3 linked regions of the Mytilus edulis genome follow. The main gene of each other region encodes a partner of the protein of the gene in region 3 in a complex. Links are inferred from orthologs where the notes say so. Each region holds a gene or a part of one and is shown on either strand. Other genes may lie near its edges.

Region 1 (10,750 bases), on a different chromosome or scaffold from region 3:
CAATACAGGTCGATGTATAACTTTTGCTTTGGTTCATTGAAGCTGTGGACCTAGTAAAATCACAGATTTATATTTCAATAAGATTGTTCTCGAACAAAGGAAGTAATTCGTCATCACAATTGTTATATATGCCACTGGACGAACACTAATTATCCCCAGGGAATGTGAATATTTTGCTGGGAAACTTTTGAGTATCAAAGTTTCAAATTAATTTCGGGATTTATTTTCTTTCTTGGTATTCAATAACAGAAAAAAGAATAAATTACTTGTTCGCTAAATAGGGGTATTCTTGTCAGATAAAAGACTTTTAGTTATATTTAAAAAATAGGGAAATATGACATTAAATTGGTTCTGTCTTTTTTTTAAACATCGTTAAAAAGATGTGTGTCTAAGGTGAACGCGACAAGAACCCTGTAATACTAGTACGAGAGTATAGCATGTAAACATTCCTTCTCAATAATATGGTTGTATTGGAAATCTTTTCATACAGATTGACAACTCATTGTCCGATATGCATGTAATATTTGCCACATGACGCCCATAGTTCTTTCTACCATCATCATCTTATTCTGTGATATTGCTGTAAACATCGATGGTTCACACCCAAACAAAATGGGAGTAATGGACCTTCAGAGCTTCTCCGTGTTATACACTTGTGAAATATATAGACGAAATTTCTGTATTGAAATGAATCTACATCTCACAAACAGGATTTTCAAATAACGATTGTGAGTAATCACCTTACAAACCAATATAAACGTATGGCAAGATATAACCATGAAGGAATTTAGTTTTTGTCAGACGCAAGAACTCATCACTATATATATCATAAACGTATACATATATATATGCATACAGTTTCAAATATTAAGAACAAACGGTCGATGTCGATAGTCTGTTTTCTAACTGTTCAGAGTTAGACATGTCACTTGTTCATTCTTGGAAGCCTTCATATTCCCCGTCTAACGATGGGAACTCTTTCTGATTGTGTTGACTATAAATGCTTGTATGGTAATTCTGTCGTTTATCTGTACAAGCGGTTGCATTTCCTCTCCTTTCCCAACAAACAAACGAACGAAACGCCACTAGTCTGATTTCTCTGGAGCTCATCCTCAATGGCTCTTATACGTCAGGAAACTTACATGTATACTAATAATGATTGTTTCATACTAATAATGATTGTTTCAAGAACAACGATGTATGGACGAACTATTATAAATTCGTCAATATCAGTTATGCATGACTAAAATATAACTTTTATTACAACTACTGTATTACTTATTTGGATTAATGACGGCTATCATGTTCAACATTGCACAAATATTATCATAGAATTTTAAAAAAAATTCTCAAAAATCCTCAAAAGAAATAATGCCTTAGCTTAGATAATTGATATTCTTTTCACAAAAAGTTCGTGTAAATGATTGTCAAATGAATTTAATTATGTAAGAATAAAATGTTAAAAAGAAACTAAAAAAAAAATCATGCATGTTGTATGTTGTATTTTTTTGTCAATTAAAAACTTTAAAATTGCAATAGTTTTATTAGCATTTAAACACAGCCAGATTTGAATACAAGTTAAGAAATTCCGGTAAGGTCAATGATATCAAACAGATGTACAATGGTATATCAAATTGGGTAATATTGCATTTAGTTTTTATAAAAGATTAAAACTACTATTTTTTGCTTCATATTTGAATCTTTACGCCAATTGCCGCTAAGAAAGTAATAAAAAATTTTCCTTTTATTTTTATACACTTTCGGAATTACGAATCTGAATTTTATTTTCAATTAATTTACACAATTTAATTATTGTATCTTTATTCTCATCGTGTATTAAATCTTAGTGTATTAACATCGTGACAGCATACTCTTTCTAATCCTTTCTGTTTATCCTTTCCAAATAACAACATTTATACCTGTGTACGCTTGAACTCACACCTGCGGCTAAATAGCTACAAGGTAAACGAATTGACCTCAAGCCGAGAAATATACAGTGACCTTTACAAAATAATATACACACTCTGCTCACACATTAGTTGCATTGAAATGATTATCAAAACAATAACGGCAAATAGAACTGAAATATTTTCAGTTCAATATCAGTAAAAATGTTCAATAAATATTTTATGAAAAAAATCTCAACAATAATTAATTAAATTTATTCAAAAACATTTACTAGAGATAATTTTATAAGAGTTTAATTCAATCAATACAAAACGGTATATGCATATTCATTTTCGTTCATTCTTATATTGTGGTTAATAACTTCGACCATTCGTCAGCTGTGCGCTTTTAATTACGTATATTGTCGATAAGCTATAAGAGTTAAACAGATTTTATTTTTTCCCAGAATTCAATAAATCGGGCTAATACGTCACGACCCACTCGAGAATTCAACCAAAAAAGTTACAAATACTTGATTTTCTCCGTTTTTAGAAGGAATATAAATTCAAAACTTTGCAAATGTGTTTTTCATGTTAAGATGAACATAATTAGATGATAAGTAAAAAATCGCGGAATTTCCCTTTAATATTTGATGATACATGTACTTATTTTTGTGGAATCATCATTTTTTTTTTAATTTTATAAATTCTTGATATTGTGGGTTGCCAAATTTCTATGTACAAATTTATAGACAATTTGTACTTCATTAAACACTTAATTTTGTGCTTTATCGATACCCATTTTGTCAAACATCTAAACATCTGAACCTCTGATAATATAATTTCCTACAAATATTAGAACAGACAATATGTGCGTCGTTGACAGTTCGTGTTGTTTCTTATTTTTTATTTATAACTGTTGATGTAAATGTCTTTTGGTTTTGTGATTCTTTGTCTACTTTCTTGTCTTTCGTTTAAATGCATACAAATTTAACGCAGAAATGATATATATATATACTTACGGTGGATTTGTCTGGTTTATCTTTAGAATCTCTGATATCTTTAAAACACTTTCTAACATCATCCGTTGTTGATTTAAACAAGCTCAGATCTTTTTTAGGATCTCTGTGTTCAACCTCTTCTTCCTCAGCATAAAACAATTTAACATCCTTAAAACAGAAAGGAAATATAATATTCAATAAGTTTAAGATAAACTAGAAGTACAAGTACAAAATTACTGCATTGCAAGCAATCTTTCTACATGTTCAAATCTTTAGAGCCTGTGTCGCTCACCTGACTCTACTTGGGTTTTTGAAATCATATAAAAAAAATATCAAAAATCACAACAGATACTCAAATAAGGATTGAGGCCAAATTTGGTTTAATATTGCATTCCATTGTGTGGTTCTGTAAAAGAAGACATTTGTAAGTATTTCTCATAGGGTCCTACGTTAAACTAAGTCCCCTGCTGGCAGCAATCTTGGATGATGGAGTTACAACACTTGGATAGCACCTCATATGGAACATGCATGCTATGTTTCATTCCATTCAGTGGTTCTTTAGAAGACTTTTGTATGCATTTCCAATAGGGTCCTATGTTACTGTGGATTCATTAACATTCATTGGGTACTAATTTTCGTGGATTTCATGGGTACAGGGGAACCACGAATTTAAATGTTCAACGAATTACAAATTTGCTGAAGGAATGTATGCAGACTTTTCCAAAACCACAAATTTAAATATCCACGAAAATGCAAGTTTTCCTCAATCCATGAAAATAAATGAATCTACAGTATACTAAATTCCCCGTTGGCGGCCATCTCGGATGATGGATTGGCTACAAAGAAACAACACTTGGTCAGCACCTCATAAGGAACGTTCATGCCATGTTTGGTTCCACTTCATTCAGTGGTTCTCTAGAAGTTCAAAATGTAAAAAGTTAACGATGACAACGGACAACCATGGATGCCAAGTGATGAGAATAGCTTACTTGGCCTTTTTTTTTAAATTTAGAGGCGATAAATATAAATATTATATGAAATTGGAATTTACTTAATATATGTCATGTGTATGTATTTCATATGTCCTTGTTTTTAAAGTTGGATTACAATTCTTCTTATATTTGTGGCTGTCAGATCTTTTTTGGGTCTACATGTACATGTCATGTCAAAACTTGCTGCGAGGTTTGATTAAGTATTTGGTTCTGGTATGGTTTCATCTGTAGCACCTGTTGGGTCTGCATCAGTTGTTTGGTCTTGATTTTTAGAAATATGAATAATTGATTTGGCATTCCCACCAAAAAAACATCATAGCTGTTTAAGATGACCATTTAGATATAATCACTTTTCAATTGGTGAATCAATTAATAAAAATTTACAGATGAAATAATTAACAAGCCATTATAACTGTCAATCAAATGATTATATACCAGTTAAACAGTGAGTTATGAAGGATTTTCCACAATACAAACTCACACACACGCCAATTATTAAAACATTGTTTATCAATAAAAAAAACAACATAAAAGTACAAACGAGAAAATTAAATATTGTCTGTAAATAGTAAAAAAATAACATAAGGACCTAAGAGCTACGGTTCCGCAACTAACAGACTAAACAAAGGCAAACTAGCCATTTTTCCAGCAACAACATTTTGAAGCAGCAATAAACTGTATGCTGCTGATACTTGGAAAGGATACTGGTACTAGGCGAGGTACATATAGTTGGTTAAAACAAGGATTTGTATAGTAAGTACTATACAAATCCTTGGTTAAAATATTATGAGTAAAAGGGCTTCAGAGAAGAAATTCTTTAAGAATCACAAAACGGATAATTTGCTGGTATTGAAATCGACTTTAAACATGATTCCTGTCTTTCAAATCTATGACAGCCTTTTTACATTTGTTGATGATTTCGATCTTTTCACATCCCCTGCTCCTCTGGTTGGAGAAGACTCTTTTTTTAAGCTTCTTTTCCTTTTAACTTCGACTTCGTGATGATCCTTGCTGCTCATTTTTTTTAAATTCGATGTGAATATTTCTCTTTCGTACTTAGATTTCTATGTACTATAATAAAACGTTACAGTGACTACACTCTAGGAGCGTTCAGTTTAAACTCAGTTGTTTATCAAGGTGATGAATTTAATAAGAGTTATTCTTCTTGCAACGTAATCAAGTTATGTATGTTGTCAGCACAAGAAACTGTGTTATAGTAGTCTCATATAGACACATTATTTCTTTAATTCATATATAATGAAAATATAAAAAACAAAAAACAAAGGAACATAACAACATTAATTACCTCAAGAAAACTCAATTACACAACCCAATGAATTACATTGATCAAGGAATACAAATCCTTGCATTGAAGACATTGAAGTTTTAACTCTTCGTTGGTAAAGAGGCACCCAGTTAAGCCAGTGCTTATCATGCAATTGACACTTGGTAACTGTAATCAAATATTGATAGTTTACTTATAATAGAGTAATGATAGTCATACAAGACTTTTAGGTGCAGCATAAAAAAAGTACTGTTCTGCACAGCTTAGTTAACTGACAAGGGTTCTTTTAGTTTAAAAAGTATTTATTAATGAAAAATGACAAGATAAATATTACAATGTTACATAAAGTTCATATATGGGATTCGGAAACAAGTTTGGAAAAACTTTTATAAATCTGTCTCTCTAAAAAAAACCAAAAAAACAACATTACGTGCCAACAGTATATTGTTTGTAAAATAGATATGTTGGTTAACTGGGTGCCTCTTTTATGGGTATCTTTATATCATTGATTTGTATGTTTGGTTTGTATTGCTTTTATATGGACACATACAGGTAGAAAAAAAATCATATACTGTAGTTTTATCACGTCTGACTCTGTACCAGCCTTTTCACGCATGATTTAAAAGTAATACTGAACTTTCTCGGGGCGGGGTTACATCTAGCTAGCTTAAAAACAAAGGAGGATGTTCACGAAGAGTTGGAATTGGCCCTAATTAAGATGCATGGTTTTTTCCTCTCAATCAGATAAAATAAAAGAACCTACAAATTTCATATAGAAATACGTGTGATAATGACTACTATTAACAAAATACATTTTTTTGCACCTTCCTTTAAAAGTTGACATTCCTTTAAAATTTACGAAGCTATGGTCTCTACAGAAAAAAATAAAATTATATATTGGTTTTTAAACGTGAATTTTGGTAAATTTTCCAATCCTTTTCATTGTTTTTGGCTTAATTAACCTAAAGATTTGTAAAGTACTCTAGAAATCCTTGATTAACCTTGACCAACATCCACGATCAAAAACGTTTTTATATCAATGAATTTTATTTCAAAATTGAAATCTTTTGGTTACAAAACATTTTTAATCGTAGTTGGTGTCCAAGCTTTTAGGTCTGAAAATTGCACACAGTTATTATATGTTGACAAAAACTTCCAAATGATGGGCTTACTTTGGAGAAAACAATCACGGTACTTATATGAAAAGAACTGATTTATTTAGCATTGAGGCTTTTGAAATAGACCAATTTACGCATCAAATCGTAACCTTGTTGGTTTTTTATGATTAAGTTGCCAATTAGACAACTAGTACTCTTCACAAGAGACCATATGACACAGTGAGAAATTAACAACTATAGGTCACCGTACGGCCTTTAACAATGAGCAAAGCCTATGCCACATAGTCAGCTATGAAAGGCCCCGAAATGACAAATGTTCGGATTTCGTTTTTTGTAAATCTGTTTTAAAATGTTTCATTTTCAATGCTTTAGTATTTCATTTAATTGCAACATTGAAAAAAAAATACAAACAAACAAAAATGTCAGAAATGTCATCTTCATTACAGCAGAATGCATTGAGTGTGTAAGTAAAGATAATAACTTTGGTTAGCTTGTTTGCTAGCTGAACCTAGCTGAACCTAGCTGAACCATGAAGTCATTATAAGGCTAGGTAAACTATCCTTCTGAAAGAGTAGACAAGTCCGACAGATAACTAATCTATCGGTCTGTAGGACCAGACTATACTCTAAAAGGAGGCCCTCAGGTTAGTGTACCTAACTTAATAATGACTTACGGTTCAGCTAGCAAGCAAGCTTACTAAAGAGTCTACATTTACCTTCACACTCATTGCATTCTGCTGTAACTGAAATAACTAAATACCTTCATTATCCTGTTTTGATAAACATCGTCTGGTATTGAGTTGTAAAGTCGATTAAAGCCAAAACTAATAGTATTGTTATACATATTCATATGCATATGCAAATTCACGGTACAACAATCTGATACATGTATTGTGGCATTGCACAACAATCTATATATATGGGAAGATGTGGTATGAGTGCCAATGAGACAACTCTCCATCCAAGTAACAATTTATAAAAGTAAACCATTATAGGTCAAAGTACGGCCTTCAACACGGAGCCTTGGCTCACACCGAACAGCAAGCTATAAAGGGACCCAAGAATGGCAAGTGTAAACCCATTCAAACGGGGAAACCAACGGTCTAAACTATATAAAAACGAGCAACCAGAACCACTCATGAACCAAATTAACAGACGACAACCACTGAACATCAGATTCCTAGTTCATTTATAAAATATGCAGTAACTTCCCAGTATAAAGAAGTTTTGCACAAAAAGCCATGCGCATGGTTATGTTTTTGACTATTTTATTAGTTGTTATTGGCTTTGAACTTGTTGTCAGTAAAGTTCTGTGATTACTCTTAGATCTGTACCTAGTGTCTTTTTTGTTGTTGTAGGATTGCACCAATACCCACGTTCGGTTTGTGCTTTTCTTACTTGTTTTTCTGCTTTGTACCAATCTGATGAGTTAAGTCGTTTCAACTAATTTTACAGTTTGTTTATATGTTGAACTGTTACACCACTGCCAGGTTAAGGGCGGGTTCTATATGTGTTTTTCTCAAGTCAGAAATCTGTTATTCAGTGGTTGTCGTTTTTTGCTCTATATCATATTTGTATTTCGTTCCTTATTCTAAACATAAATCAGGCCATTACTTTTCCTTGTTTGACTTGTTTAACATTTGTCACTTCGTGGCCTTTTATAGCTGACTATGCATAATGGGTTATGTCACTTGGTGTCTGGTGGAGATTTAACGTGTGTCAATTGAATCAATTATATACCATATCTTCTTATTTTTAAAATTTGATAGAACCGTCATTTTTCGTTTCTGAATTTTAAAGTTCTTCTTGCTGTCAATCAAGAAATCAAAAACCTTAATCTGTAAATCATTTCTGCAAAAATCCCTAGCTGAACTACAAATGTTATATGATTTTGATTAAAGTTAACGTTGCCGCAAATGATGAATTAAAAAAAACGGGTTTCAAAGCGGCACGGTCAATTAGTTTTTGGTCAGATAATATGGGAATTATGTATAGGGTATACATATATATCATAACCGTTCATATACTTAACTTTATTACCTACGAAATTGGTTTTCTTGAAGTCTTCATCAGAATGCTTATGCTCCATAGATAATTAATTCCCGTGGTTTTTATATAATGTAATTGCAATATCGAATAATGCAGTGATTTTTAATGTAAAAAATTATTTTGTGCATACACTCATGGACCCAGCAAAGATGGAGATAGAAAAGTACATGATCTGCTGCTGTCCTCGGAAATCTTGTGTCTTCTTTTCGCCGGGTTGCCTCATTGAGCGTTCATCTCGACTGCTTAAGTGTAAAATAAACAAATATATTTTAGTTACCATACATATCAAATCAAACATGGCTGTCAAAACTTATGACATTTATGAAAACATATACATGTATTATAAACCAAATATGACAGACGAGATTAAGAAAAAAATATCTAACCATGGGACGGTAACCCATGGGACCTGTGTTATAAACATAAAAACTCTTTAAAACGACACACATCTTTACTGTGACTTTAGACCTCTCCATGATTAGGGAATGATGCATTTATATATATTTTTAAAACATAAAGTCACAAGAAATCGCATGAGATTGTGTCAAATATTGATATAAACGTAAACTGTTTATACTTGAAAATGTGGAAAAGACCCTGCATGTGTCTATCATGCCTGGGATGTCGCATGTCACTTTTCTGAAATTTTATCATAACACTGGAATAAAAGGAATGAGCCCAAAGTATACCTAAGTCCTTTCAACTGCAAATGAACAAAAAAATGCAGACGGTAAAAATGTATATGTTTATAGATATTTATCAATAATTTCAATATAGGATGTTGGATTTAGATTCAGATTTCAGTGAAAGACATTGAAATTGGATGTAATTGTTTTTTTAGCCGATTAAAGTTAACAGTTCAGTGGTTGTTTTTTTGTTTTTATGTGAATATAACATATTTATTTTTTTTCTTATATATTCCGTATATTGATGGTATATTGAAGTCATACTAAAAACATTTTCTGTCTTCTATTTTGCTTAAGAAAGTGATTAACAATCTTTCTGATTGGAAAGAAGATCGGATAACACCACGAAATGTTGGTGTCTTTTTTAAAAATATTCAACATGATGTGTAATCCCGCGTAAAAATATATAAAATTAAAGTGAAAGTAAATGAAACACGAGTTACTTTCACTTTCAATGCTTGACACGCCCACCTCGTGAATAATAAGGAAGACGATATCGATGCAAATCGTTTCCTCTCTGAATTTTCGACACAATAAGTGTTTATCCAATTCAATGGTTACAGATAATTTTAAATATTACTTTGAAATCAACCAATATTTGAATTTTTAGAAACATATGCTTTTGCACATCCTTATTTTGTGTCTGTATGAAGCTTACGGATCTCCAAAAGGAAAAGTGGGTCACAACTGACACTCCCCTAAACAAAACGTCAGAGGAAGTTCTTGGTGAATGTCATACATGATACAACTGTGCAGGAGCTTACAATAATGCCTGGATATTCAGAAGGTTTCGTCGAAAAATTAAGGAAAAGATGTTATTGCTCGATTTGTGGCTTGCCAATGAAAAATCCCGTCAAGATAACAACATGTGGTCACCGATTCTGTGAGAGTTGTCTGCAAGAATTTCTAAGGTAAGTCAACACCTGTGGTTATTGATTTTGATATATATATGCATACTATGGAATCTGGATCAGCTGTGTTGTTCCAGAGATCTATGCTGAAAAATTAACTAAAATATTTTATTTTTCGGTCAATTATTTCGGAATTGCACATACATAATTTAGTCATTAAACTCCACATTCTATTTTAAATTTCTTCATATATTTCATGTACCATTTCAAATTATCTCAGTGTCAGAAACAATTTCTTTTCAAAATATGCAGTACTGGCAGATCAAATCAACAGCCTGAATTGTAAATGGATAAACTATTGAAATTTAAAGCAGAGTTCTATTTTTCACTTTTTTATAGAAAAAAGTTTTGAAAGCTTATTTTAATTAAAATTAACTAAAATATTAGTTTTTAAACTTGCCATCAAAGACTGGTTAGACTGTCAAGAATACAACATTTTTTAACCTGACATGTCAAACAGACAGAGTCACATACCCATGTTTGTTTAAAACATGCATGCAGCTGCTTTGAATATATTCTGTAGATTGTTGGTGCACTTACTGCAAATATTATTAGATCTCACTTTTTACTTATTTGATAGAAGGAAATTTTGAGCAGTGAGGAAAAAGGGCTCAATAATCAAATGCGAAAACTTTTTAATTGACAGAAATGGTCCGGACAAGTTTGTTTATTAATGAAATATCAGCACAGTTAAGATTTTTTTAAAAATATTTGATCTTGCTTGATTTAAACTTTTAGTAAATAATTTAACCTCATAAAATATTTCAGTTTTGGTAATTTGTCAGAATGTTTTTTCTTATAACAATTTATATTTTTTCTTTCA
Region 2 (10,445 bases), on a different chromosome or scaffold from region 3:
ACCTCCAAATCATCTACAAATTCATCCAAGAGCATGCTTATATTTGTAATCAGCTGACATAAAAAATAAATCCAGTGTCTGCAACATGAAATATGAACTAGCACTGAAAAGCCTAAAAACGAGGCTCAAAGAATCAAGACTCGCCTATCAAAATTGCAAGTGACCGTGTAGCCATAGGAAGAGACATATATTACAATTGTATTATATGTCTCTGCCATAGGCAAACAAAAAATACTTACAAAAAAACAGCGAAAAACTGTAGTCGTACAACCAATCTTTCAAACCTATTACAACCAGCAGGCGCGGATCCAGGGGGGGGGGGGGGGGGGGGGTCCGGGTTTTTTTTTGGACGATCAATGCATTTGAATGGGGACATGTAGTTGGAACCCCCCTTTTTGTCCTGGGTTAGGACCCCCCCCCCCCCCTTTTAAAATGGCTGGATCCGCCCCTGACCAGCTACAAACAACTGTAGGACATGGTCGAGAACTGAAACAAATTGCCTCTGGTAATCGCCACAGCCATGTCACTTGAAATATTCAACACCATTCAATAACCATGTATATGAAAGAAAAAAACAATGTGTATTGATTTTTGTTCTTTTAAAGAAATATGATGTAGGATACTCACTGCCACATTATTACAGTCGTTGAGAGTAAAAGCATTACATGGATTCCAAGCATAAGCATCTGCTTGTCCATTAGGGTCAATTATATCTGCATATCTGTAAAAGAATGCGCAAAAATTCTGTTTAATTCTGTGTTATAAGACATGAGGCTCTAAAGAGCATGTGTAACTCATCTATAGGTGCATGTGCAACTTCAACAATGAATACTCTTCAACTGTGTGGACTAGGATGGAATTCATGAATTCGTGACAAAAATATGTTTTAGTGATCTTGTATTGCTGATTTTTTTTTCTGATCATAATTTCTGTTCATCTTTAGTTTTCGTCACAATTACGCAGAAAAAAAGAAAAGTTGTCTTTTTAGGGCAGTCACTCCTATCAAGAGTCTAATAAAGATTTCAGCAAAATTTGACTCATTTGTCGATCTGATCTTGTTGATCATTTTTGCTATTAAAAGTATCTATCTATCTTTCATAGTTTGAAAGATAAACATCAAAAACACAAAAAGTCGGTAAATATAGTCATTAATGAACAAGACCTCTTTCAGCAAGGAGTCAAAGAAAATTTCATCCAGATCAATTTGGTATTTGAAATGGCTATCTATCTGTAATAGTTTTCAAGATAAGGGGCAAAACACTAGAAATGGGTAATAAATTGTCACTAAAAGGCAGTAAATGAAATCAGGAGTCTACTAAAGAATTCGGCCATTAGACTTTTTTGTAGATCTTATCTGACTGATCATTTTTGCTATTTCAAGCTTCTATCTATCTATTGTAACTTATAAGATATATGACGAAAATGGGGGAAAAAGTGGTAACAATTGCCACTAAAGGTCAGTAACTCTAATAAGGTATCTTAACAAGAAATCTTACAAAATTAAGAATTAGTTCCCACCCTTTTTTGATTGAAAAGGGCAGATATTTCAGACCAAAATTTAAGAGAGAAAACAGAATATGCTTGAACTGTAATCAAATAGAGGATGAAAAACATAACCTTATTTATTGCAAAAAAATTTAAAATTATAGAAAACAACTATTTAATCAAGATCTGCGCCCTGAAAAAGTTATGAAAACCATTATTAGTTTAATTAACCCACAAAATATTGATGATACAAAAAATATATGCCATTACATAAAATTAATTATGCTTTGAATCTTTGTAATTTTATTCATTTAACCTTGATTTGATATTTTGTCAAACATGATATATATGTATTTATGTGATGTAATATCATGTTAATGTGGGGGAAGACATCATTAAGTCTTTCCACTTTTCTGTGGAAAGACTTATTGTTTTTCTTCTGATTATTATTTTTTTTTTCCGCCAAATTTTGTTCTTGCGATAAATGTTTGTTTCGCAATATGTCGCTTAGATATTTCTCATATGGTATCGTATAGTTTACGCGCTTTTAAATTTTACCCTGCTAAGCCGAACCATTTTCTTTGTAAGAGTTATCTCCCTATTCACTGTTTATCATCTGTGTGCATCTCCTTCGTAACAAAAAAAGATAGCGACAAAATTCTTTTTACAAATTGTTCGTTACATCCTCAGTAATTTTTGGCGCATTTGGAGCGAAGCGATTCGATGAAATTTTATAGGAGTTATCTACCTTTACAAAATAAATTTGTCGGTATGTTTATTTAACTCATAAACCGTTAACTGTATAACCCTGGAATGTTTTTATTTGAGTCCAATGGGTCCCAACTTAGAAAATGAGGTCAAGGTCAAAGGTCAAGGTCAAGTTCTAAATTGTGACTTTTGCTTGTTTTTGCATTTTCTCCGACACTTTGAGAGATACACATAAAAGAACAAGTGCAAATGTCAGCTTTATTGTAATGAAGATATGTTACATTTAGTCTTATACAATTAAATGGCATCTTATAGGAGTTGGTGCCCCTGAAATGTCTTGATATGAAGTTATTTGATTATAACTTCAATTAAGTTCATTATAAAGACATTTGACCTCATACAAAAGGTTAAGTGACTAATGACCTTGAAAAATGGCTACCGGAAGTGACCTTTAGAAAACCGGAAGTAGCTATTTTTGCAATTTCTTTCACCTAAAAGTACCCAGAATCCATATATTTTGTCATATAGATACATGAACAGATTACTGAAGACTAAAAATGACTTCCAACAAACCGGAAGTGGCCAATTATCTCCCATTCTACATACAAAAGTATATAGAAACTATATATTTTTGGAATCAGTGTGAAAGAAGCTATCATATGAGACCGGATGTGACATTAATTTCACCGGTAGTAGCATATTATCTCCCTTATATCACTCAAAAAGATAATTAAACCATCATTTATCGCATCAGTATAAAGAAACTACCTTCTTATCCAAATTACTTTAGTTTGGAAAGACTTTCAATTGTTCTCTGAACAATTGGTTTTTAATTATACTTGTATTGATTTTCCTGATTTAATAAAAACTTGTATCATCGGACGATTTCAACTACTAAACTTATGGATCTTGTGTTGCTGATAGTTTTCAGTTTTCTGATTTATGTTTCAATCTACCTATTTTAATTTTTCTGACATTAGACAATTTTTTTTTAAATCGTCATTAAAGGGCTATTACTCCAATCAGGAGTCGTCTGACGATTTTGACATTTTTTGTAGATCTTATCTTGCTGATCATTTGTGCTTCTTACCGTTTCTCTATATCTATTATAATTTCAAGATAAAAGATCATAATAGGCAAAAATGGAGAAAATAAATGATAAAATTCTTCGCTTTTAAAAGGGCAAAATCTATAGACATTAGGTAGATCAGCATTGTAAACTCGCACCTGCAAAGTGGAAAGGGATTAACATAAGTTGCAAAACTTATTTCACAATCCACTATAAATAAATATGTTTAAACTAACCATGTTCAAGAATATTGGACATTTCCAAGCGAGATAACCCTACATTTTTTTTTAATAAAAACTCTGATAGTTTTAAATTGCTCACCGAGATATATAATTTATTATGACAAATGATATCTCGTATGTGTATTAAAATTAAGTCTTTATAATTTTGGTAAATTGACATAACCTCGGTTTTGAATGTATCTGTGTTATTCAATTGTTCATTTTCCCCCCGAAATATATCATGGTCACAGTATATCAAATTCATAAACTGTCATTTTGATTGCATTTCAAAATGCAGTTGACAACAGAAAACATTGAGTTAAAAAAAAATCTTGATAATTAGATTGTTTCATCATTTTTCAATCTTATCTGCTATGGAAAAATTAACTGCGACGAATATCGGAATTTTTAAGAATTTTTTTAAGTCAAAGGTACAATAACCACAATAGTAACATAGGGAAAAAAGAAAAAAAGTATGAAGGCTATTTTCAAATGTCCATTGACAACAGTAAACGCTGACTTTATTTTTTTTTTTTTTTTTTTAAGTATCATATTTGGAAATCCTTCTTAAAGTTCACTTGCTATGGACATTTTTTATCACGTTTTTTGTAAAAAAAAGATATTTTAAAAATCATAACAGGGTATAAGTGTTTTCCGTTTACATCAATGATAACTATAAAATTTATAAGATTTATCTAAGACATAGCACGTGTACTGATTAATTTAAAAATTTAAATGTCCTTCATTCTTGTGTATGGGATGACGGACACCAAATGTGTGAGAAGTGAACTTCGTTTGCTATTTTCTATAAAGTTTGTCATGGTTTAAATCAATCACTAAATTCCAGAATCTATAAGAATAAAACACAGTGCATTTTTGAACAGATAACTAAAAATTCATTACACAAAAGTTTAACAAAAAAAAAACCCCGAACTTGCAAAACATTTCGGGCTTTTCTCGTGTTAATTGTCGAAAAAAATAATAGAACCCTACCTTACATTCAGGAGAAGAGGGTAGTTAAAAGTAAGATATGAGAAAATCGGAAGCTAACTGATAAAAGTGAAAAGTCAACAGAATTAAACTGTGACTTGATTGATGAAGATAACCTGAGTCGTGTGTGTAAGAATGCAGTCACGGATTGATTGGAGAAAAAGAAGACATGACTGAATGAGCCATGTAGATGAAAGGATTTGTGTCTTTTGATTTGATTAGGGACTTTCCGTTTAGAATTTTCCTCAGAGTTCAGTATTTATGTGATTTCACTTTTTTTTCGCAAACAGTGACGGTTCCTTTCCTGACATGAAATCAAATCTTATTGAGTCAGCAAAATAATTGTTAGACTCTGAACCATGTTGCTATAAATAAAAAGAACAAACTTACGCAGGGGTTCCATCCTTTTTCGCCAATGGAGTTAAATCAATTAAATGTCCAGAATCTGTTAGACAAGAACATGCTGATTTTTTAGTGCAACTCTTTGCTAGAACGTTCGAACTACATAGAATCAAAATGATACAAACACATGAACATCCAAAGGTAAATTGTAACATTTTGAATTAAGTCAACTTACACCTAAATCGTCATGTGATTATATTGATAATAGATACGAGAACTGAGTTTCATAGGGCTTTGTTACGTGATAACACTTTAATGTAGATAAAGATCTGAAATGAGAGCATAGGACGTTGGACTAATCAATTACTCGACACGTTTCGTTGACTTGGGTCTATATCAATAGAAAAATTCGTTATTTTGTTACTATTTTTATTTGTATACATAGTAAGCAAGTCCGGATCTTTTTCTGGTTTTTCTCGGTAATGGGCGGAAGTTTAAAATTGTGATTTCCGGTTAAATAAAAAGAAAAACACGATGGAAGACTTGAGCACTTTGAAGGTTTTTAAAATAAGTTTCTCCACAATCATAAACATAATGCGTTAAAAAAAATAATGTCAAAAGTAATCATGATAAAAACTATTCTCATATGGCGAGAATCGGGGGTCAATTTGTCATTTTGGGAGCATGGTTGAATGTTCATGGAATGGCAAAAATGAATTTGTATGACAATACACCTTATCGCTAATCCCGGCTGACCCGGCCGCTTGAACTTTTGACGTCAACAACAATCACTTTTCCATTGTGGCGTCAGATATTTTGTTTTATGACGTCAAAATTTTAGGGGAACCTGTGTGATTTCCAGCAATGGCGGACAAATAGCGATAAGGTGTATGAGAGTAGGTGCCCTGTACTGCCAGGTGTCAAACGGCCATTTTCGGTTATCGTTTACGTTAGCGTCAAATTGGTTGACATTTTATCGTGATTCATCAAAATAACCTTATTGTGATTCGTCAAATAACCTTATTGTGATTCGTCAGAGGTCTCATATTTTTTTATCGAGGGTGAAGCCCTGTGGAGGGTCCAGGGGGGGCTTTGCCCCCTGTAAGCTCCTGGGTTTAAGGAAAAGGAGATACTATGGTCAAATTAATAAAAAATAACTTGTAATTTTGGCATTTTTTTTTCAATGGTGTAGCTTTGATGTGTTACCAGAAAGCCTAAAAAAAATAGTTTTGAAAATGTGATGTACAAGCATAAATTTCAATCCTCTTGGTTCAGTGTCTTTTCCTGCAAGACACCGACTGTGACTGTCACATGTACAAGAAACATATTATTATATTTCATGAATAAATATTATAATTTATCATAGGCTGCACCCATACATCATACCATATTTGCATTTTGACTAAGATGTTTTTATGTGTAACAGTATAAATATTTACATTCTAATTATATTTTTTATGACAATCAATGAAAAACATTCATGGCTTATCTCCACTGACAATAAAACATTTACCCTTGTATTTTGAGGGACGAAAGTTATCATGCTTAACAGTAACACTTTGGTATTTTTGATAAGTAAAGTTCTATGTACCGTAGTTTAAGTTACTTGGTAAGAGAAATAAGCCACTAATTTTTCTCATTGGACCCTGTAATTGAGTACTTAAATACAAATATTATTATATCAATCTGATTTATTTGATTCTATTAAAACATGTTGTTATTTTCATTTTGTTCATCATCATCATCCTCATTATCATCATCATCTATATACATTTTTTTGATTGCAGCCTGCACTTCAAGCCTTACCTCCTCTCTGTCACTTAAACTTGTAAGAGAAACAGGCTCTGTCTGTACTGACATGTCTTGTACTTCAGTAATATTTGGAATAGGATTTTGTTCGTTTTTCATTCTACAATTTTGTTTTACTGCAAGTTTCCTCCTGTTTTAAGTTCCTATCCATGTTTCCACTGCTTTTGGTACAGTGAAACCTGTCCAAACCGAACACCCATGGGACTTTGTGTTTTGTTCGGTTTTCACAGGTGTTCGGATTGTGGAGGTAAACGGAAGTGGACAGCAAAATGATTTAGACACTGACGACGGACACCAAATAATACACCAGACGACGGACACCAAGTAATACAACAGATGACAAGTATTGTCGTGTTGGTTTCAATATAAAATAAAATAAAATATATCAAAAAGTTATTTTATAGATGCAGAAAAAACAATTACAATTTTTAATGAACAATAAAGTGCAAGTTCAAACTGTTAATCGATCTCATTGTACAGAGAAATAATTATCCAATGTTGTCTGACGTGTAGCTAGTTTGCTTTTTACAATCAAGTCCTCGGTCATTGAAATCATTTGTTCCGTTTGATCTAGGTAACGGCTATCCTTAGAAATAGAAAAATTGCGCAACTTTGTCAATAAATCCAAAATGTCAGTATGGTTCATATCGGAACCGGGTTGAACCTCTGTTGGAATGTCTGTGTCAATATCTTCGTCGGATTCGATTAAAGTATCTCCAGTAAATTCCCTGATTAAGTCCGTTTCCCACTCACTATCAAATGCTGATTCGGTGGCCAAATTGTCATCAACATCGTCAGCTTCTGTAATTTGTACACTCGGATCCCTTGACCTTAATTGTTCCACTAAATCGGCTAACGGTATGTCGTCATCCGGGTCTTCAGGCTCATCTACAATTGTTGGGGCCTCTAAGGGGAATCCCGCATCACGAAAACATGATTCAATTGTTGTGGATTTAGTTTCGTTCCACGACTTCTTAATCCAGTGAATGGCTTTTAAAACGTTTATTTCTTTGCAAAGTTCAGTAACTGTATTGCAGTTGTCAATTTGTGGCAGTAAATGTTTGATCATGTGCTTTCTATATCTCGCTTTAAAGGCACGAATAATACCCAAATCAAGTGGCTGTAGTTTAGAAGTCGTATTTGCTGGGAAAAACTTCAATTCAACATTACTAAGCTTTAGATTGTGCGAGTGAGAAGTTGCATTGTCAAGGAAAATTACGATTTTCCTAGATTTTTTCCGCATGTCCCGATTAATGTCCTTTACCCATTCAGTGAAAAATGTGCTATTCATCCAGGACTTTTTGTTAGCCTTCCAAGTCACAGGAAGCGATTTAACATCCAAATTGCGAAAACATCTAGGTTTATTAGCGTTACCAATGACTAAAGGTTTTAGTTTCTCGCCTCTGACACTACAACACAGCATAACAGTAAGCCTTTGTTTTGACATTTTACCCCCTTTACATTCTTTCCCACGCTCCGCTAATGTCTTGTCAGGAAGGGCACGAAAGAAAAGGCCTGTTTCATCAGCATTGAACGTATCCCTTGGGTCATAATCTTTAACAATTTCGGGTAATTTACTTTTAAATTCTGCAACAACGTTTAGATTCACATCAGCACTTTCCCCGCAAACTTTGAAAAATCCAATACCGTATCTTAAACGCCAGCTTTCTAGCCATCCATTTGAGGCTTTAAACTCAGGCAAATTTAGCTCCTTTGCGAACTCCAAAGCTTTTTCCTGTAAGATAGGTCCACTCAAAGGAATGTTCTTTTCACGAGCACCTTTAAACCAACGAAATAGAAGTTCATTCAAATCGAAAAATTTACTTGAACTGGCATGACGTTTCCTCTTACTTCCTATGTTTTCTTCGTATTGAGTACGATATGTATCTTTACGTTTAAGAATGTCACAAACAGTAGCTTTCCCGATCCCATACTTTAAACTTAGATCCTTTTGTGAAATTTTTGGAACTGCCTCCGAATCTTTAATTAAATCCATTTTGTTTTCAATAGAAAGTTCCTTTCTTGCCCTTTTAGGCGATGGAGAAGGTTTATCATTTTGGTCGAATTTACGTTTCTTCTTAGGAGTTTCCATTTTAACACTGCATTCGTGAACATGTACAAGCTAATTAGTTTATAAAAACAACTCACCATTAAATTAAAATTTAAATACCCTCAAGGGATCCTCTGCTAGCCTATGATTGTTAAATCACGCATGCATATTGTTGTAAATACTTACATTGTTTTGATTGCTATCGATCGATTTTGACAGGTAAATTTTTTATACACATTGACTAACGGGGCTTTAAATGTCGTTCGGAATTCGGTGTTAGCAGGATTCGGTTTTATCAGGTTAAATTAACGGTAATTAATAGAGAAATGTTACGGGACTTTAGAAATTGTTCGGTTTGATATGAAATTCGGTTTTATCAGGGTTCGGTTTTACCAGGTTTCACTGTATAACATTGGATTTTTTGAGACTGTCCATATCAGGACCATTTATACAAACATGCATATAGGCTACAATTTTTTCTTTTATTTCAAAAGAAGGGCCATGGGACAGGTATACATATGATTTATGGTAAAAATGAAGAGTCTGCTTTTAATTAGTTGCTCTATCACTTGAAAACAAGAAAATGAAAATCACTTAATGAAAATAATGTGTTGTCTGCTTGTACTAGACAAGACATTGCTCTCATTTTTTCATTTCATTGTAGGACGACGATCATGCACTTTATGAACATTACCAAGGCGGGTGTCTCAATTATTTGAATGCAAATGTCATAGAACAAATTTTTTTTCTCGCTTTGTTGTTGATTGAAAAAAATCTGAAATTCTTTTCATTTCTCTGACTCTGCTTCACTTTTTCTTTATTGACTGGTTACAAAATCTCGTTATTACTATAAATGCATACTTATCCTGGTTTCAGTACAAAATCTTATAGTACTTTGCAGCGAACTCAACAACCAGCATCTATTTTGACGGAAATTCAATTTTATTAACCAATCAGAAATGCCGTAATATATATCTCTAGATTGTCTAGATAGTGATTGACGATCTAAAACTAAAAGTTCCATTTATATTTTTTTGACATCAGAAAAACAACGGATGGGGATTTGGTTACAAACGACCATTTCAATCGACAATCGGTTCTTAATGAAAAGCTGTATCATAAAATAAGTCACAGGTCTTAAAGAAAGTACATGTATACATTTCATCATCATCATGCACGGAAAATTACCTTTAACATCATTTGGCAAGAATTTTTACCTTTATTTGTCATGAAAGTACCCTCATTAAGACCATAGGCAGAGTCTATGACTGAAAAAAATATGCAGGTAACAATTGTTGAAAATGTAAATGTTTTTACTAGGCCAGTCCACCTAATTTAAAGCAGCACCTGTGAAAGATGGTGAATTCTGTAAAAAGCTATTAATTAAAGCATTATTTTTTTGCAAGACTTAAAATTCACTTAAATGAGTTTTATTAGTTAGATGTAAGGGATTATGTCTCTCTTTGAGACTGATTGGTAAAAAATTATTGCTTACTTGACCCAACCTTTTTAATTTGTACATTGCATTAAAATAGGATGCATTTCTCTTATACATTAGTGTGTCTTTATAGTTATTTGATAACTATTTTTCTGTTACAGGTAGCTGATTTGAAAGAAAAATTAAAGGAGAAAGGTTTGACTGTATCTGGGACTAAACCAGAGTTATTGAAGAGATTAAAAGATGCCATGGAATTAGAAGGTATGTGTATGAGAGATGAAGAACATTGAACATTTTCAGGTAAAATGATAAAAACTGCATTTTGACACACAG
Region 3 (11,263 bases):
AGGAATATTCTTATTAGTTATTTGCTCATTTTTGTTTAGCCTGCGATTAACAGCAAAAGTAGGTGAGACACTGGGTTCCGCGGAACCCTTACACATTTTTTTAATTATAAATGTACATTACTCCATATAACACTGCTGTACTTACAATAATCGTGTTTTTGTTTTGACATATTTGGCTTGATATTGCTGTCTAGAGGAAATCAAGCCTACATTTTCCAATGTGTCAAAATCCAGACGTTCTTTAAACACTGTTGGTGCTATTAATCCCTGAAATAAACAAGTCACATTAACATCCAAATACATGATTTTGAGATTACCTAATAAAAAGAACAAAAAGATAGTTTTGTTTTGGGTTGCCTTGTAATCAATATGCTTTGTCAAACATTTAATAGAGTAATATGATCATCCAAGATCTTACAGTAATTTTCAGTTAATGAATGCTCTTTCCCATGTTATCTAATGATAATGAGGCGGAGCTTTGTATATACCTTTTTTAAACAAGCATCAATCCCTTTGTAATTCATAAATAACTCTTACCTCTATAGCTGATACCAATGAGATAAATCTGTCTCTTTCTTGTTTATCCTCAGAACAAGTTGTCTCTATATCTGTAAATAAAACATGTAATGTGTATTCAGTAACCAGTAACATGTAATGTGTATTCTGTAACCAGTAACATGTAATGTGTATTCAGTAACCAGTAACATGTAATGTGTATTCAGTAACCAGTAACATGTAATGTGTATTCAGTAACCAGTAACATGTAATGTGTATTCAGTAATCAGTACCATGTAATGTGTATTCAGTAACCAGTACCATGTAATGTGTATTCAGTAACCAGTAACATGTAATGTGTATTCAGTAACCAGTACCATGTAATGTGTATTCAGTAACCAGTACCATGTAATGTGTATTCAGTAACCAGTAACATGTAATGTGTATTCAGTAACCAGTACCCAAATAATTAACATTGAACAGTAGCTTTTCTACTTTAAAAGAATCTTACCAAATATAGAAAAGACATCAACAAGTAATAATGGAACCTCCTTCTTGAAATCCTGAAATCATAAAAGAAAATGTGTTTTATTATAAGTATCATTCCACTGTCATGACTGTGCAAATACTGATAGCTAAATTACATTTCATTGGTTGAAACTATCGCAAAAATGTTATTGGTTCAACCTTTGTTTTAAAGGTTTTCTAATGGTTTGATTCTCAAACTGTTTTTACTTGATATAAAAGGTCTTTTCTATCTGTTAATGAGACATTGGATAATTGGTCAAACCTCAGGATACTGGTTTACAGTTTGAGTCTTTAATATTGACCTTAGAAATATCGTCGCTGTTATACAAAAACCTCGTATCTAAGGTTTTGATTATTTTACACCAGGCAGTAAAAACTGAAATCTTTTTATCGATTATTTAGAATTAAATGTGTATGTTCCACTGTATGCGAAAATATCTGATCTTCTAACCAATAAATTACCAAGACGAGCAAAAATGTCTGCACCTATATTGTATTTTAAAAGCTTTTCATATTATTTCTAAGCTTTATTAGCTTTGAGAACCTAAAATTGATTCAGTAAACTGTAGCTGTTATGATGCCAGCTGCCGTGCCGTGTGTTTTTCTTTTGAGATACGATATTTTCGAACAACAAAATTTCTCACCAATCCGACTACACTTTTTCGTCACATGTCAGAATTCAGGTTAATGATTGGTTAGAAGATCAGATATTTTCGCATACAGTGGAACATACATATTTAATTCTAAATAATCAATAAAAAGATTTCCACAAAAAATTGAGATACGAGGTTTTTGCATAACAGCGACGATATAATTTTTTTCTTATTTTCTATTTCTTATAGCCTATGTATTTTCAAACCTGATATGAAGGTGGATTACTCACGCAGAGATCTGTTAATACTGATACAGCTTGTTCCTGTTTGACATGGCCTTTAGATACAACTGAACACAAGTCATAGAAAGCTTGCTTAAGTGACTTGGGTCCTGGAGTCCATAATTTGTTATCATTTACAAATGATTTACATTGTTTCAAGCTGCAAAGAAACAGAAAGAAAATTATTGCATTTCAAAATATATTAATAGTTGGAAGCTGGAAGTTAATCATGTTAAAAAATAATATCATAAGGTAATAAGTTTCAATGTTAAACTATTTCTGATTATTAAAAGCAGTATGTCCTGCACCTTAAGTATAGATTATCGGGTTTTCTCCACATCGATATTGTAAAATATCTGCCGTGAGACACAATGTGAACATTTTTGGAGAGTGAGCCCAGCTAACGAGATTAGGGTTGGGGCCCAAATTTGGACCCAAAATGAAGGTTGGAAAATCCCTGTATATATTTTTCTTACGATAAAAAATGTTCATGTCATTATCTATCATTATCTATGTTTTAGGTAATCATTCTCCCTCTGCCAAACTGTTTTAAAATTTTTTCTGACTGAAAAAGAAACTTTTTCTTCATCATTTGTACACGTTCGACTATATATTTTCAACTAAAAATGTTTTTAAATTCTGTCTGACCAAATGACTTTTTGTCTGACATTTTGTCAGTTAAACAGAGTTTGGGATGCACTGTAAGAATATTTATTATTGAAATTAATGTATGCATAACAAGTGATAGGGAATGTTGATTTGCACTTTACAATATCTGCGTAATTATACAAACTACATTAGGTAATCAATCAAAAAAGCAAGTCTTGTGGGTAGAAATGTCTGCTGTAAAATAACATTGGAATACCCTCATGCCTAGTCCGAGATTACTCTGACGTCCAACGGCTGTTTTGCCAGACAAGCTGGGGACGTCAGAGCTTGTCCCATATCAAAAAGAGGATATTTGCCTGTCCAAAATAGATGCGCTGCTTCGTCGCTTCTGGTGTCGACTAACGACATTGGAATTATATAAATCCAGTCTTCACGATGAACTGCTAAATTTACAGGCCCGGAGCTCAATTTTTGAAAATGTTTAGTTAGATTCTGTTGGCCTGTAGATATGATTTTTACAGGCCCGAGAGCAATTTTACAAGCCTGGGCTGCCAGGGCTGCCACTCAGCGTGAAGACTGTAAAATCAGGTCTCGATTTGTTCATTTTTCATTTATCACTTCATTTATGTAAGCTTCACCTACCTGCCACCCTTTATTTTTTCCATATTTAAACAGTTTTCACAGTGACCCATCAATTTCTGCATTTTGACTTTCACTTTCAAAGATTATCACGTGACCACGAGAAAAAAGTGATGATTTATGCAAATGACCATAATCTAACACCTCATTCATTTACGATGCAAGTAATCTAAATGTCCGAGAGCTTCCGACTGTTATTGTGGTTGGCTTCTAAATGTAAAAATACGGATCTATAAAGGAGTTGAAAAAAGTATAAATATTTGCATTTTTGCGTCTCGAGGTCATAAAGTCTCACGTAACTTGACAACCATTTGAAAATAATTGTAACCAAGTGATCCGCAGGGCGCAGCTTTATACGACCCCAGTGTGGTTGAACACTGAACAGTTTGGGCAAATTTGGTCACAATATTCAAGCTTGATACTGTCTGAATTTGGATTGTGATCAAATTTTTGACATAATATAGGTTTATGTCACAAAATTAATGTGGTCAAAGATCTAACAAATCTATTGCACAATATTCTTCTTAAAACTTTTCAAAATTTGAAAATTTTGAAAAAAAGGAATTCCTTAAAAAAATGGTAAACAACCCCCCCCCCCCTGTTTTAAAACCCCCCTTGGAGCAATAACTCTTAAACTCAATCCCATGCTTTCCTTTGTATGTATTGAACCTTGCAGTACAATTTCAGAGAGATCCATACACTTAAACACAAGTTTTGTCATGATTGTTTGGAAACTAGAAACATGCTTCTTTTTGGTCCTTTTTTGGCCCCTAATTCCTACATATTTTGGGTGATTAACCAAAAACTTAATCCCAGCCTCCCCTTTGTTATATGGTACATTGTGGTACAATTTCAGAGAGAACCTTACAATTACACACAAGTTATTGTCTGGCAACTAAAAAATTTCTTGTGTTGGCCCTTTAAAATTCCTAAACTTTGGCCCCATAACCCCTAAAATGAATCCAGACCTTTTACTTGTGGTTTTAAACAATGTGGTATAATTTCAGAGCAATTGAAATACATGTACACAAGTAATTATCCTGAAAGTAGAAGAATACTTGTTTTGGGCCTCTTTTGGGCCCTTAATTCCTTAACAGTTTGGACTATCATCCCCAAAATCAATCCCAACCTTCCCTTTGTGGTATTGACCCTTCTGAAAAAATTACATAAAGATCTATTCATTTAAACTAAAGTTATTATCCGGAAACCAATGTGTCTTTGGACGACGACGACATCATACCTTTATATGATCCCAAATTTTTTTTGGGGTCGTATAAAAATGTCTGAAACGATGGGTCACTGCGAAAACTGTCTGAATGTAAGAAAATAAAGGGTGGCAGGTAGATGAAACTTACATTAACGAAGAGATAAATGAAAAATGAACAAATTGATACCCTATTTATATGATTCCTAGGCCGTTAGTTGGCACTAGAAGCGACAAAGCAGCGCATCTATTTTGGACGGGCAAATATCCACTTTTTGATGTAAAACGAGCTCAGACATCCCACAGCCCCAGTTTGTCTGGCAAAATAGCTGTTGGACGTCAGAGTAATTTCAGACTAACTCATGCCATGCCCATGGTCTTCACTATTTTTTTAAGAAAGATTTTTTTTACTTGTTTCCAATTATTTTGTCTTTTTATAGGCAGTGATACATATTTTAAGTGCTTTTATTGTCTGACTTTGAGGTTTATCGTGTTTCATATACTGCTAAATTATATCAATATCATCACTAAATCAGAATCTTTGGTCAGTGATGTCCAGTGTTGATTGTTTTGGCTTTTGCACATGGACAAGATCAACTTTCGCTTTCTAAATATTCTCCGCAAATACACGGAATGCCGAGCTTATTTTGAAATTTAAATGTTATATATTTTTGTTTCTATAAGAAAGCATATACTGTCACAAGGATTTCATTCTTACAAGTCATGTTTTACTGATTTATCCCATGATTTAGAGTTCACGTCGGCTAGCACCATCGCCGCCATCTTTCTGACGTCAAATAATTTAGTCTCTAAATAACTTTCGTTGTTGTACAAAACATAAAACATGATACTTGAGAATAAAAATTAATAAAAATAATATATCTTAAAATTAAAATAGTAATAATTATAAAAACTCAAATATCAGTTTTACCAGAGATTAAATTCAAGATGGCAGCGCCCAGTGCCACGACAAAAATGTCAAAAGTCGACAAAAAATTAAAGAAAAAGCAGATGAAGTTTCGTGACATGTTAGAAAAGAATGAAGGGATACAAATTACTGAAACACCAACAAAGGTTTAACACATTAAGAATCAATTAGTTTAGTACTAGGCAGGTGTTGTCTGTAAAATGTGTAAAAAAGTGTTCTCTTCACTATTTACAGTTTTTAATATGAGGCAGGCATAACCTGTGAATGGGGACGAAGTCTGTATGTATTATTTTTTTTACCTCTAACATGATAATAAAGGAAACGGAAATACCGTAACGTTCCCGATTTCGGTTCTGTGGTTAGGGATTGAACTGTGACGTTGCTTAAGTTATGACGTCATATTCAATGTAAACAAAAGAAACGCTTCCATCAGGTATCGTTTTTTTCAAATCAAACAATTATTAAAAATGAAATTGTATTGAGTTCCAATCTTATATTTTACTAGACTGATACATATAATTTTCTTTTCAAAGTCTCGTGCAAACAAGACAGATTTCTGCGCAAATGCGGGTAAAACCGGAACAGGAACTAGATCTGAAAAAAAAAGTTAACGATTTTGAGTTCATTAGTAGAATGAAAAATTCGGGAAATTTTCCCGATTTTTTAATTTTTTTTTATTATTGATTTTTCTACCGTAATTGGGGACTTCGTCCCCATATTACACTTACAGTAGACAAATTATTTAGGAATTAAGAATGACCTGAAATCTGCTCCAATCACCCTTCTGATGTTAACATGGTAAACGTCCAGGAATAATATGAGGCAGGCATAACCTGTGAATGGGGACGAAGTCTGTATGTATTATTTTTTTAATTCAATCACGTTGATAAAAGAAACCAAAATAATATGTAACGTTCCCGATTTTGATTCTGTTGTTAGGGAATTAACTGTGACGTTCTTTAAGTTATGACGTCATATTCTATGTAAAAAAAAGAAACGCTTTTATCAGGTAACGTTTTTTCATATCAAACAATTATTAAAATTGAATTTGTATTGAGATTATATTTTACTAGACTGATAAATATAAATTTTTTCAAAGTCTCATGCAAACAAGACAGATATCTGCGCAAAAGCGGAGAAAACCGGAACAGGAAGTAGATCTGAAAAAAAGTTAACGATTTTGAGTTCATTAGTAGAATGAAAAATTCGGGAAATTTTCCCGATTTTTTTTATTTTATTTTTTTTTAATTAATTTTTCTACCGTAAAAATTCTTGGACATGTTTTGACCATTTAATATGAGGAAGGCTTTACCTGTGACTGGGGGCGAAGTCTGTATTATTTTTTTTTTATTCAAACATGTTGATAAACGGAAATACCGTAACGTTTCCAATATTGGTTCTGTTGTTAGGGATTTAATTGTGACGTTATTTAAGTTACGACGTCATATTCAATATAAACAAAGAAACGCTGTTATCAGGTAACGTTATTTTCATAATATGAGGCAGGCATTACCTGTGAATGGGGACGAAGTTTGTTTAAATTATTTTTTTGTATTTTAAATATTTGTTAAAAAAAAGATACGGAAATACGGTAACGTTTCCGATTTTGGTTCTGTTGTTAGGGATTTTACTTGTGACGTTATTTAAGTTATGACGTCATGTTCAATGTAAACAAAGAAACGCAATGCATCAGGTAGGCCTAACGTTTATTCATACCAAAGACAAAGAATGATTAAAAATGAAATATTGGTATTGTGTTCCTTGAGTTCCTATATTTTACTAGACTAATCAAAGTCTCACAACAACAAGACCGGAAGAAGGAAGTAGAGTTATGTGTTCTACACAGATCCGGAAATTAAAAAACATGTCAAAAAAAAAATTGAACGATTTTGAGTTCATTAGTACAATGGAAATTTGGGAAATTTTCCCGATTTTTTTTTTTTTTTTTTTTATTGAATTTTCTACTGTAATAGGGGACATATCAAACAATTATTTAAAATATATTTGTTGATATGTTGATAAATATACATTTTATTCAAAGTCTCATTCCAACAAGACTGGAATAGGAAGCAACAAGACCGAAACAGGAAGTAGATCTGAAAAAAAAAAGTTAACGATTTTGAGTTCATTATTAGAATGAAAAAGTCGGGAAAATTTTCCCGATTTAAAAAAAAAAAATTTTTTATTGATTTTTCTACCGTAATTGATGACTTCGTCCCCATAATATCAGATAAATATACAGTTCTTTGGGAAAATATGAGCCCTTTTTTAGCTCACCTGGCCCGAAGGGCCAGGTGAGCTTTTCCCATCACTTGGCGTCCGTCGTCGTCCGGCGTCCGTCGTCCGGCGTCGTTAACTTTTACAAACTGCTGGGCCAAATTTAACCAAACATTGCCATAATCATTATTAGGGTATCTAGTTTAAAAGTTGTGTCCGGTGACCCGCCCAACCAACCAAGATGGCCGCCATGGCTAAAAATAGAACATAGGGGTAAAATGCAGTTTTTGGCTTGTAACTCAAAAACCAAAGCATTTAGAGCAAATCTGACATGGGATAAAATTGTTTATCAGGTCAAGATCTATCTGCCCTCAAATTTTCAGATGAATCCAACAACCCGTTATTGGGTTGCTGCCCCTGAACTTGTAATTTTAGGGAAGTTTTGCTGTTTTTGGCTATTATCTTGAATATTATTATAGATAGAGATAAACTGTAAACAGCAATAATGTTCAGCAAAGTAAGATTTACAAATAAGTCAACATGACCAAAATGGTCAGTTGACCCCTTTAGGAGTTATTGACCTTTATAGTTATTTTTTAACCATTTTTTCGTAAATCTTAGTAATCTTTTGCAAAAATCTTCTCCTCTGAAACTACTAGGCCAAATTAATCCAAATTTGGCCACAATCATCTTTGGGATATCTAGTTTAAAAAATGTGTGGCGTGACCCGGCCAACCAACCAAGATGGCCGCCATGGCTAAAAATAGAACATAGGGGTAAAATGCAGTTTTTGGCTTATAACTCAAAAACCAAAGCATTTAGTGCAAATCTGACTGCGGTAAAAGTGTTTATCAGGTCAAGATCTATCTGCCCTGAAATTTTCAGACAAATCAGACAACCTGTTGTTGGGTTGCTGCCCCCAAATTAGTAATTTTAAGGAAATTTTGCAAATTTTGGTTATTATCTTGAATATTATTATAGATAGAGATATACTGTAAACAGCAATAATGTTCAGCAAAGTAAGATTTACAAATAAGTCAACATGACAGAAATGGTCAATTGACCCCCTAAGGAGTTATTGTCCTTTATAGTCAATTTTCAACAATTTTTATAAAATTTGAAATTTTTACTAACATTTTCCACTGAAACTACTGGGCCAAGTTCATTATAGATAGAGATAATTGTAAGCAGCAAGGATGTTCAGTAAAGTAAGATGTACAAACACATCACCATCACCAAAATACAATTTTGTCATGAATCCATCTGCTTCCTTTGTTTAATAGTCACATAGAGCAAGGTGAGCGACACCAGCTCTTTAGAGCCTCTAGTTTTACTAAAAAGTGGGGTTTTTTTCACAAAAAAATATATATTACAACTTATATCAGGGACTTTCTATACTTACTTACTTAGTATAGAAAGTCCCTGCTTATATTGACCCCTCATAAAAGGGATATTTATAAAATTAAGGGGTTGTTCCCAAACTGATTATGACTTGGATGGAGAATTGTCTCATAGACCAGATTTAATTATTCAGTTATTTCTTGGTGAAGAGGGAAAAATACTTCATAAATTAAAGAATTAAAGAAATGTCAAAGTACAAGTGATAAATCAAGTTTTAATAAATGTAAAAACCTACTATTTTATGTTTACAAAAAAAAAATTAATTACTCGCCTTAACTTTTCAAGCTTCGCCTCAAAAATTTGCAAATTAAATATTTTTTTTATTAAAATTTTCAAATTGCTTGCTCGCCCCAAATTTTGGAGTCCAAAAGTCCGTAGAACAAGAAATTAAACTGGTGTGGCCTAATATAGTTTGTTAATTTTCATTACAGATTATATGTGTTCACAATGGTGGACTTGACAATTCTGTGAGTAGAGAGGAAATTTCAACAGCTCTTGACAAACATGGATCTCTCATTGATGTCATCATGTTGCCAAAGAAACCATACTCAATTGTCTGCTTTAAAACAACTGAAGACGCAACAAAATGTTGTGAAGAGTTTAATGGCCTTGAGATGCCACCTAATGGGAAAAGAAAACATTCTGTTATACTTTATTTGTCATATGTAAACAAAGGTAAACTTTAATTTCTCTTTACCAAGGAAGGTTATATTACAGATTGATGGACATGACATAAATTCCTTTCTTGAACTTAAGGGAAAGAAGAATGCTGTTCTTCATCTCAAAGTCACACCAAGGCCTTCAAAACTGGCCTTAGTACAAGTTAAAGGCTCCCATAGTTTAGTTTGAGTGAAAATATTTGTTTGGTGTTGATGATACTACATTTCCAATTAAAGAACACAAACAATGGGTTTATAATATCAACATGATCAACAACCTTCAGTCAATAACAGACAATGCAATTTTGCAGTTACTGTTCTAAAATATAAAAAAAGTTCAGAACTGTAAAGGATTCATACAACCATGAGGCACATCAACATATATGCTAAATAACTTGGCAGGAAATAATGTGTTATAAATATATAGTGCAATCATTTTTGATGGACTATTTCTGGACCTTTTATTGCTGACAATGGGGTATGGGTTTTGCTCATATGGTGACCTATAGTTGTTAATTTCTGTGTCATTTGGTCTCTGTTGGAGCGTTGTCTCATTGGTAATCACATATTCTTATTCTCATATGTATAATAATTTCAGCGAAAAATAGACTGAGTGTGAAAGGGAAAAGTCAAGTAGTACACAAATGAAAAGTAATCTGAAGAAAAAACATATATGTTCCACAAAACTCATTATACATGTTATAGGGTCTTTTGGGAAACTGTTGGGTTGAAAAGATATAATTATTTCATTAAATGTTTGCTACAAAGAAAATCATTTAAGACTGGTATTCAAGTTTTCTGGGTGGTTAAGAATTGTTAAAGATGCACATTTAAAGAGAATAAATAGAAATCAAACTATTTACAGCTAAACTGATTTATGTTCATTTCTGTGGTCTTTGTTCAGGAAGGAGAGTATAATAACTGAATAATTTGTCTTGTTAATTAGAAAAAAATAAATCATTAAAATTTGTCTGTTTTCTCAAAAGCACAATTGAATTTTTACACTGTATGATTTAATTCAATCATTAAATTTATTACTGATAAAGGTTACTAAAAGTAGTTAATCGTACGTTGTACTTGATATTTTTTACTTGAATGAAATTTGGTTTATATGTTATAGTTCCATCCAATATTTTACCTTGTAAGGACCTACCACCTGGACTGATTGTACTTGAAAACTTTGTGTCTGAAGCAGAAGAGAATCAGTTGATATCCAGTTTACACTGGCAAAATGATAATCGTAAGTACAAGATAACTTCACTGTCTAAAACATCACATTAAAGAACCTGAACAGAATCAGTTGATATTGAGTTTTCACTGGTAATTGTCTAAAACATCACATTAAAGAAGCAAAGAAGTACTTGATATCCATTTTACACTGGCAATTTGATAAATGTAAGCCTTATATCATGTCACAGTCATACGAGTGAGAGGTTTAGCTAGCTATGACATCAGGTTTTATCCACCATTTGCTACAATTAGGAAATTCCTGTACAAAGCCAGGAATATGACTGTTGTTTTCATTGGATATGTTTGACCTTTTGAATTTGCCATTTGACAAGGAAGTTTCCAATTAGAATTTACCTTGGAGTTCAGTATTTGTATGCCCCCACCATAGTAGAGGAAGCATTAAGTTTTACCCTTGTGACCGTACTTACATATGTCTGTACATCCCAAAATTAGTTTCCAATATCTAACTTTAGTTTGCC

What was found.
Region 1: THO complex subunit 2-like (region 3) and THO complex subunit 5 homolog share a complex: the UniProt entries of both Homo sapiens proteins name them as parts of the transcription/export (TREX) complex. The link is inferred for Mytilus edulis from reciprocal best matches to the Homo sapiens genes THOC2 and THOC5.
Region 2: THO complex subunit 2-like (region 3) and SAP domain-containing ribonucleoprotein-like share a complex: the UniProt entries of both Homo sapiens proteins name them as parts of the transcription/export (TREX) complex. The link is inferred for Mytilus edulis from reciprocal best matches to the Homo sapiens genes THOC2 and SARNP.

What each region holds. Positions count from the first base shown.
Region 1 is NC_092349.1:68,572,149-68,582,898, reverse strand, and holds the start of THO complex subunit 5 homolog, read right to left. Parts: upstream 4,939-10,750; 5' UTR 4,899-4,938; coding exon 4,785-4,898; intron 3,056-4,784; coding exon 2,909-3,055; intron 1-2,908. UniProt on the Homo sapiens protein: Component of the THO subcomplex of the TREX complex which is thought to couple mRNA transcription, processing and nuclear export, and which specifically associates with spliced mRNA and not with unspliced pre-mRNA.
Region 2 is NC_092345.1:85,204,150-85,214,594, forward strand, and holds the start of SAP domain-containing ribonucleoprotein-like, read left to right. Parts: upstream 1-5,252; 5' UTR 5,253-5,349; coding exon 5,350-5,373; intron 5,374-9,936; exon of another isoform or gene 9,937-9,938; coding exon of another isoform or gene 9,939-9,959; intron 9,960-10,273; coding exon 10,274-10,373; intron 10,374-10,445. Other genes in the region: uncharacterized protein, read right to left, coding at 628-721, 4,864-5,030. UniProt on the Homo sapiens protein: Binds both single-stranded and double-stranded DNA with higher affinity for the single-stranded form. Specifically binds to scaffold/matrix attachment region DNA. Also binds single-stranded RNA. Enhances RNA unwinding activity of DDX39A.
Region 3 is NC_092351.1:66,492,825-66,504,087, reverse strand, and holds the start of THO complex subunit 2-like, read right to left. Parts: upstream 5,148-11,263; 5' UTR 5,133-5,147; coding exon 5,068-5,132; intron 2,058-5,067; coding exon 1,907-2,057; intron 1,059-1,906; coding exon 1,007-1,058; intron 609-1,006; coding exon 538-608; intron 268-537; coding exon 146-267; intron 1-145. Other genes in the region: tRNA (carboxymethyluridine(34)-5-O)-methyltransferase alkbh8-like, read left to right, coding at 5,298-5,423, 9,327-9,570, 10,675-10,794. UniProt on the Homo sapiens protein: Component of the THO subcomplex of the TREX complex which is thought to couple mRNA transcription, processing and nuclear export, and which specifically associates with spliced mRNA and not with unspliced pre-mRNA.